2 linked regions of the Oryzias latipes genome follow. The protein of the gene in region 2 purifies or fractionates together with the protein of the main gene of each other region. This does not show direct contact. Links are inferred from orthologs where the notes say so. Each region holds a gene or a part of one and is shown on either strand. Other genes may lie near its edges.

Region 1 (4,970 bases), on a different chromosome or scaffold from region 2:
AGGAAGCCTCAGACCGTGAAGGCCTCACCCTCTCCAACCGCTTCCATGTCCTGTCAGTTCCAACGTCTGACAAAGTCCTGGTAGCCGCTTCTCCACTCAGCGGTAAAAATCCTCGCCCTGTCGCTGCAGCTTGGACCAAGAGAGAAAGCCACCTGGAGCTTCATCTCCTGCCAAACGCAGACAGCTCCTAAATGCCTGTTCACACCGGGACGAATTTCGCGCGCGATATTCGCCGACGTTTAACGCCTTGTGACTAAACAAAGGGCACCAATGTGAGTGTGCACACCGACGCGAAAAAACGCCACGCGTCAAAGCGTCACTTTTTAAAAAACGCCTTGGGTTCGTTTTTTTGGTTTGACGCGTCGCGTCGAAATCTATTCGACCAATGAGAATGGCGCTTTTGCACACGTCTCTGGAGCTTCTGAAGTCACAGTAAAACACAACTTGGGGGCACTCAAACACAAAACTGCCTTTCTAAGCACACATACCAGCGAAGAAGATAGACGCCAAGTAGCGTCTACACTGCCGCGAAGAAATAATGACGGACATTCTAAAATATCCCCGAACCAAGCACTAGTTGGAGCAACTGGTGCTTGAAATATTCATGTTTTCCTTGTATTATTCTGACAAGCGCGTAAATACTTGCTCTCTTCTTCTGTATGAAAAGCGACTTTAAGAAGAGTGAAGCTGCGCAGCGCCACCTTGTGTACAGGAGTATTTCTGTTTACATTAAGCGCCATCTAATGTCAGGGAATGAAATTGCATGTTTGCTCGGCTCATCGTCAGCGAAAATCGCCTGGGTGTGAACACAAAAGACGTGGCGAAAAACGCTGGCGAATAACGTCTGGCGAATATTCGTCCCGGTGTGTACGGGCCTTAAGAGACGCAATGAGTAGAGGCCCTGACACCCGCTGCCCTCCGAACGCAATCCACGTCCCGTGGGATCGAACAACGTGGGGTTTCTATCAGCGATCTTGATCGGAGCGTAGGGTTCAAAGACCTTTCCTGTTTGTGGTGTCCTGCCAGCCTCATCGGCCGCTTCCCCTTCTGCTACACTAGCCAGTTGCCCGGTGGGCAACTGAGCTGTCCACTGAAGCCAACGTGGGCAAACACAGGTGGGGCCACATTTTCTGCCCACTTTTAAATCATATAGGGCCCACTTGGCCTTGCTGGCTGGGAGTGGGCTGAACTTTAGGAAACTAGAATGTAAATGGATTTGACATTCATTCTAGTTTACTTGTTTGTATGGACACATATTTCATTTAAACTTGATGATCTGGAAGAAATCCAAGAATCTGGAAAACTTCACTGTTCAGTCGCAGAAATGTCTGTCTGAGTCTCACTGCTGGAAGTTTGGATGAAGATGATCTGGATCCACTTTAGATCAGAGAATCGGATCGATCAAACTGAACCGATATTGATATTGTCAACCACAAATAATCGAATCGTTATTAAAGTGAATCTACTCCCCCTAGTAACAGATGTTCTTAAATCACAAAAAATAGAGCATGAACGTTGTTATTGTGTCAAATGTTTTTTAAACATACACATATGGATCACGTCTTTTAAACACTTTTCATCCTTCTGCCAACGTTCTTTACACAAATGTCGTTTTGCGCCCCTTGGGCGTGCGTGCGCCTCGTCGTTTTAGTGAACGTGTTTCGCCGTCCCGCCGCGTATTGCGTGTTTTTGCGTGTTTCGGAGCGGGGCAGACAGATGATGAGCGCGGCGCAGGCCGGCATATGGCTGGCTGGGTCCCCTCCCCCTCCCTTCCTCCGCTCCGCTCCGCAGCAGCAGGACGGAGCCGCTTCAGTTTTGAAGCCGTGGCATGAATGATCTCATCTGAACCCGATCTCCGCTCTCCCTGTCGTCGATCCTATGACCGAGACAGGTAAAATAAGGCAGAAACGAGGTGAGTGCGGCCGCCGTGTTTTTACAGCCGGGCCTCGCAGGGACCGTCGGGGACGTTTAGTTCACGGCCGCCGCGAAAACTCCTGTTTTTGAGAAAGGAGGAAGGACCGCGGAGGGAGGGAGGGTGGGCGTTCGGAGCGTACTAGCTTACCGCTCGCTAGTTTACACGTTATAAAGAGGACCGAACAGGGACAGAGAAAATGCCATATGTTCGATTCCGCCGCGAAAGGCCCGCTTGTGACCATTGGGGGACGGTTATCCGGCGCCAGTCCACAGACCGCATTCAGAGTAGCGCCGCGGCTAGCCGGCTAGCTGTTAGCCGCCAGCGCAAAATGGCCTCATTGTCGGCCGCTGGAAGACAAAGCGTGCGGCGGCGTCGCCGGCGGCTCTTTACCCCACCACTCCCACCGCCGTACTTGGCGGTCGGTACCAGAGCGTGGTTGACGGAGGGGAACCGACCGCTTTGTGGGGCGCGCGCGGACGGTGGTTTTAATTGATTAGGCGGCGCGGGCTGTAAAAGTGCCGCTGCCTTTTCTCTCCGCGGTGGGGGATGGGCCCCGGTAGCAGCCATTGACGTAAAGCGCGGCTGCATTTTGTTTGGCCCCAGCTCTAAGTCTTCACTGTTTACATGAAAATCACCTCCAAAAACGACACGTTTTCTCCGTTTCTGGACGTGAAAGGAGGCATTTCCGGGTGTCTGTCCACATCTGTCTCCACACCGTGTGGCGCATGGCAGCATTTCCCGGTTAAATAAAAGACGAAGTGCAATAATATATCATGAAAAACAAGATTACATCCTTATGTGGAGGTTTCATTATATATACACGTCCACTTAGAACAATTGAGCATTTATAGCAGACAAACAAATGTAAAAATCAATACAACCGCATTATTGGAACCTTCTTGTGCAAAGGGAAGAACTTGATTAGCAAATAATCTTCTAAAAACAGTCGACATGTTATAAATGTAAACGTTGAAAACATAAGTCTAGACACATTTTGTTTTACATTACTAGGAAGTGAAATAAACTAAGAACAAATCGATTTATTTGGCAATTACTATAATTATCAAATGTGTTGTTAATTTAAATGTTTTATTTTCCCACCATTTAAAGGGCTTATATCATGCCAAATGAATGCTTTTTAGTGTATTTTAATGTTCATTCCTCACAAAAACATCCCTAAAGTGGCTTTTTGATCCAGTCACTCATTTCTGAGTATTCCTCTAAAAACCGGATCTCTGAGCCCCGGCCCCTCCCAATCCATGAAAACAAGTGGGTCCTCACATTGTGACATCACAAAGTGAGGACCCGCCCCTTCCAGGAAGAGTCTGAGCTGCCAGCTCCGCCTCCAGGCTAAAAGACACACCCACTTTCTCAGTGGAGCTAGTGGTGATCGGCTAAACAATTTCATTTTTTTTATAAACATCCATCTTTGGAAAAGTTCAGATGTTTGACGCTCTGCTGAAGCCAGCACTAGGATGATGTCATAAAATGGGTGGCACCCACAGGGAGAGAAAGGCGGAGCCTCTGTGATCGAGTCGTCTTACATCCTAGTAGGAAAATAAGCTGTGAAAATAGTGTCCCAAAGGTAATATATGATAATAAATATGGATATAGTTTACTCTGAAAGGCTTTAGAAAAGAAGGACATAGACCCTTTAAAACCAATTGGGTAAGCCTAACTCCCGTGTGTCACCCATGCTACACCAGGTCCATTTCTTTAATGAGATGACTAACTATTTTCATTAGTTCACCTTTTGGCACATCCCATTAGGGGTCGCCACAGCAAATCAGCTTTCATTGAAAAAAAAAACTGGTGGATAGGCCCGAATTTCATACTTATATATATATATTATATATATATATATTATTATATATATACCATTGTCACGTTCAGGACGAGCCATTGACCTCCAAAAACTGGACTGAGTGAGTGTGACATCATCCACAGAAAACGCTTTTCTTATAGCCAAATAAAGTCAATTCTGTCAATTTTGGCAATACAGACATCACCATGTTGGAACCAGATGTTGTCGGTGAGCAGTGATCGGTCGGTCTGAGTCGACGTTTCTATAGTAATCACTCTCACCAATCAGGAGTCAGCTCGTTGGAAGCTACACCCCTACCACTTGAATTCATACGAAATCTGAATGTGGGTAGCCACTGAGGAATCTTATCTGTCAGTTTATAATTTGAATAACTTAAACAAAGGAAAAAATATCATGTAGAAAAATTGAGGATTATTAGGAACATTTTTTTTAAAAAAGGTATCAGAGCCAGAGCGGTTCTTCTGACCAATAGTATGACGGAGTAACAGCTGTTTCCCTCTGGAAGTCTGTGGGATTTTGGCTTCTTGGAGCCAGCAGGTACTTCCTGTTTGGAATGCCAGAGGGGGAGGGGCTGCTCGGTCCAGTTCTCTTATACAGTCAGTTGTACAACCAGTTTTTTTTTATAAATACAGGAACTGAACATTTTGTATTTGTAAGTCAGTTATGTCAGTAACACTTTGAATTTCAGATCTTTTTTTTTACCCATAAAATCTAAATTTGATCCAAGGTCTACTAAAACCTTGGATCAAATTCATATATATATTTTTTAGATCTTTTAAATGTGAAATCACTGAGAAAACGGCAAACTGTGGTTAAAACGGGGTAAACGTGTGGTGACTGAATGTGAACAGACACACCGCCTGCTGCCACGGCTCAGTCCTTAACAAAAAAAACGCAAAAGCTCTATTTTATTCAACAGGACCAGTCTGACATTTAACCCCAAAATGCTGAACTTCAAAGTGTTGGCTGCAGAAAAACCCCATTTAGGATGTCCAAAAGTGTCTTGTTTGTGCAGTAAACTCTGACCTGTTTCTGTACACGTTTCAGAGGTTTTTCCTTTTGAGGAGGTAGGGGACATCACAAATGCTTGTGTCCATAACTGTTTGGTTTTTTTTACCCTTTTTGTATTTTATATCTCCAGGGACCTTCTTAAATGACCCTCCCCACCCCATTCTGCCCCCCTGTCACGAAGTGTTTGATCTCGGAGTAAGACCACCTGAGCGTTTGGGT
Region 2 (4,229 bases):
GTGGCTTTTTGTGTTGTGTTTAGAGAAGAGACACTTTCGTCATTTGACAAATATACCGGTAAACCAAAAAGCTACATATTGAAATTAAATCCTTTCAATGTTTTGTGTACGAAATCCATTCACTTCACATGTAATGATGGCTTTTACTGTCAGCAGCTGTGTGCTATTCATTGGATAAAATGTCGAAGGCCGTCTGCAGTTCAAATACTGAACCTGACTGTACAGGAGAACTGGACTGAGTCACTCCTCCCCCCTCACTGGTTCTTAGGAGCTAAAATCCCATAGATGTCTATAGAGAAATAAACAGCTGTTACTCAGTCATCCTATTGGTAACAATAACCACTCTTGCTTTGATACCTTTTTAATAAGTTCTTGTTATTCCTAATTAGGATATTTTTTGTTTATCACAAGTTCTTCAAGTTCTAAAACTGACCAGTCAGATGCCTCAATAAAAGTATGTGGTCTCATGTTAACTATTTAAAACATTTGACAGATTTTGTGCTGCCTGATTTCAAGTGGTAGGGGTGTGGACTTTCAACAAGCTCACTCCTGAATGGCAAGAGTTGTTGCCATAGAAACGATGACTCAGACTAAACGATACTTGCATGGTGGTGTCCGTATTGCGCCACTGAGTTGTCTTCATGTGATTGGAGCCAGAAGTAAGCCATTTTCTTTGGATGACGCCATGTACACTCCAGTTAGTCAATGTCTGAAACAGTTAAAAATAGGTCCAGACTCCAAGCTTTCTGTCTTGTTGCCTTCAAACATCTTAAGTCTAGTTGCTGTTTGTTTGTTTTTTTAAGTCCTGATGAATCCGTTTTTGTTGTCTTAAATCTATCACTGTTTTCTTGTGTTATAATCTATGTTCATCAATGCTCTGGGCTAAAGGGAAAGTATGCTCAGGCTTATGCCTTCACCTGACATGAAGACCATCAACAACATGCCAGTGTCCTCCAGCAGCACAACACACAACCCCCCCCCCATGTTGGACATTGTCTTTCTGCTCCAATGGGCAACAAAAGGTTGAGCCACTCCGCATCTGTATGGGATTGTGCTCCAGCACTTTAAGTATCGTTCAGCTGTGTGTGTGGGGAAGAGAGGATAATTGGATGTTAGTGGGGTTGGGGGGGGCGTGAAAAGGGAAAACTAGGTTACAGATCATTTTCTGTCTGGCCCACAAGCCGACAGAAATCCTGGAGGAGTTTGGATTAACATGCTGATTTGATTTGTACTTGTTACCAAAAAAGTAACAAATACTTTGAAAGTACTTTCAAATGAAAGACTAATCCATTTTCCTCCTGTCTGTCTTTCTTTTTTTTTTTAGCGGACATAATATCTACAGTTGAGTTTAACCATACAGGAGAGCTGCTGGCTACTGGAGACAAAGGAGGGCGGGTGGTGATTTTTCAGCAGGAAATAGAGGTACAGCTACATGTGTGCAACGGGCATCTGCTTTAGAGGAAAGCAATCTCCTCTTTTTGTTTTTAGGAAACAAGGGGAATAATTACATGATCTGAGGCTGAAGTTCATTTTTTTTTGTCAATTTCAACAGAATAAAAGCCTGCCTCAGTTCCGGAGTGAGTACAATGTTTACAGCACCTTCCAAAGCCACGAGCCAGAGTTCGACTACCTGAAGAGTTTGGAGATCGAAGAGAAAATCAACAAGATCCGCTGGCTTCCTCAGAAGAATGCTGCACAGTTTTTGTTGTCAACAAATGGTAAATCTGTCACTTATTGACTCCAAACAGCTGTGATTACATAGGGAGTTATACCCTTGGTACAAATAAGCTCACTCTGTTTTTTGGACTGTTAGTCACAGTATAAGAAGCACTTTTGGGAGAAATTTAAGAAAATGGGAACAAAGACAAACATTTTTCATCTTGAAAGGCAAATCATAACAATGCAATAGACAACAATAATAGACGGAACATCTGCACGCTTCACTACCGTAACACAATGGTGCTTATTTAGCTTCATGAAACATAGGAGGAATCGGCGATCTCAGAAGCAACAAATGGAAATTGTCTGAGTAGTTTGTCGGAAATATTAGCAGTGTCAATAAAAATTTTTTTTACATTTCTGAAAAACATATTGTCAATTTTAGAAAAAGTTTTCAACATGAGTCTCTTTCACACTGTTTGTAGATTAAAAAAGTTGTTTGTTTTTGATTTCAGATAAGACCATTAAGTTATGGAAAATCAGTGAACGAGACAAGAGACCTGATGGTTATAACCTGAAAGAAGATGATGGAAGATACAAAGATCCCAATTCCATCACATCACTGCGGGTGAGTCAAAGGCGTCAGAGACACCTGAATGAGAATTTAAGAAAGCCTTTGAGTCACGTTTGTGTTTACTGTTGGCACAAATCAGAGTAAACAAAACATTGGATTTTGGGTTTTAAAGTTTTTAGCTGCTTAACATAAGTGTGACCTCGCAAATTAAAAGAATGGTAAAAAATATATGCGCGAGTTTGGATCCATGTTTTAAAGAAAGTCCAGTGCGGATAAAGCTGCGTAACCAGTGTGTATGTGAGAATCTCTAGACCTCATTCTTTTTAATACATTTTAATTTTTTACTGTTTCATTCAGGTACCTGTTTTAATACCCATGGACCTGATGGTGGAAGCCAGCCCACGGAGGGTGTTTGCCAATGCTCACACCTACCACATCAACTCTGTTTCGGTGAACAGCGACCACGAGACCTACCTGTCTGCAGACGACCTGCGCGTCAACCTCTGGCACCTGGAGATTACCGACCGCAGCTTCAGTATCCTCAAACACGTGCTGGCACTTCCTGTCAAATCTTGTTAGTAGCGGTTTAAGCAGCATGGGTACAATCCAGGCGGTAGTTTTTGCTCTCCTTGACCGTTTCCTCTCAGATATTGTTGATATTAAGCCAGCCAACATGGAGGAGCTGACAGAAGTGATCACAGCAGCAGAATTCCATCCTCATCAGTGCAACACTTTCGTCTACAGCAGCAGCAAAGGCATCATCCGTCTGTGCGACATGAGGGAGTCAGCTCTGTGTGACAGGCACACCAAGCGTGAGCATCCATGATGGCAGATTTCATGTTTTCTGACTCCAGACCGTCAGAAAGTTCTGAATTTTTTTCTGCTTTCAAAGTGTTCGAGGAGCCAGAAGATCCGAGTAACCGCTCCTTCTTCTCTGAGATCATCTCCTCCATCTCAGACGTCAAGTTTAGTCATAGCGGACGCTACATGATGACCAGAGACTATTTGTCTGTGAAGATTTGGGACCTAAACATGGAAAACAGGCCGGTGGAGACCTATCAGGTGAGGAGTCTGAGTGAGATGGTTACATAAATGTGAACAGAGCTTCATAAGCTCTGATGATCAACACTGACAAAAGTAGTTTCAGTTTAGTCAGGACAACAGAGTATTAGCGCCACCGTAAAATAAAAAAATCAGAGAATAAAGTTGTACATTTATGAGGAAAAAAGTCAAATTTTCTGATAATAAACTTGTATAACCAGACATTTTATGTTTTAAATGGCATTACTTTTACCTTGTAAAATGGCAATTTTTTTGAAGAATACATTTTACCTTGGTAAAATTTTGACTTCTTCCCCTCAATATAGTGTGATGTTACTTGTAAAATGTTGGATTTCTCGTTTTTTATGGAGGCCCAAATACTTAGTCGTAATTCTGGTCATTTATGCACAACAATAAAACAAAACGGTCTTGTCATAATTTTAGTATTCCACCTCAGGAGCTCCTCCTTAAATTCACTTACAAATTCTCACATCGGTATGTCCGCTCATGTGTGAAGTATGATTGTTGTATGTAATTCCAGTGTTGAATTAAATACCATGATGGCCACTAGGAGACGCTGTTTTGAAGAAAGCACTGATGACTCCAGGCTTGTAAAGCTTCTTAGATTCTTTAAATTCATACATTTACAACAAACTCCGGTTGACTCAATGCTTGTTATTCCATAACAAAAAACAAAGATACAAAAATGTAAAAGTTTTTTTCCATCAACCAAAACCTGTTAGTCTGCACTGCGCTTCTTCACCTCAGAGATCAGTCACTCCGACTCCAGATATCGTCTGCATCCACAACAAAACCAAATCCAAACAACTGAAAGTTGATCGTTCAGGTGTGTCCATACTGAAAGTAAATCCAAAACAAAAAGGCGTTGTCAGTTTTTCTGCAAACTCCAGCGATGGACTCGCCTTTTGTCTTCAGTCTGCTGTCGGCTCTCCAA

The links. Proteins that work in one complex are often made in the same cells at the same time.
Region 1: the proteins of serine/threonine-protein phosphatase 2A 55 kDa regulatory subunit B alpha isoform (region 2) and cdca4 purify together in Homo sapiens (affinity purification with mass spectrometry; 4 studies listed by BioGRID and IntAct, with this or other methods). This does not show direct contact. The link is inferred for Oryzias latipes from reciprocal best matches to the Homo sapiens genes PPP2R2A and CDCA4.

Annotation. Positions count from the first base shown.
Region 1 is NC_019880.2:21,571,589-21,576,558, reverse strand, and holds the start of cdca4 (cell division cycle-associated protein 4), read left to right. Parts: upstream 1-1,669; 5' UTR 1,670-1,912; intron 1,913-4,301; exon of another isoform or gene 4,302-4,970. UniProt on the Homo sapiens protein: May participate in the regulation of cell proliferation through the E2F/RB pathway. May be involved in molecular regulation of hematopoietic stem cells and progenitor cell lineage commitment and differentiation.
Region 2 is NC_019870.2:24,066,217-24,070,445, reverse strand, and holds part of serine/threonine-protein phosphatase 2A 55 kDa regulatory subunit B alpha isoform, read left to right. Parts: intron 1-1,324; coding exon 1,325-1,422; intron 1,423-1,552; coding exon 1,553-1,718; intron 1,719-2,174; coding exon 2,175-2,287; intron 2,288-2,590; coding exon 2,591-2,768; intron 2,769-2,880; coding exon 2,881-3,045; intron 3,046-3,125; coding exon 3,126-3,295; intron 3,296-4,229. UniProt on the Homo sapiens protein: Substrate-recognition subunit of protein phosphatase 2A (PP2A) that plays a key role in cell cycle by controlling mitosis entry and exit. Involved in chromosome clustering during late mitosis by mediating dephosphorylation of MKI67.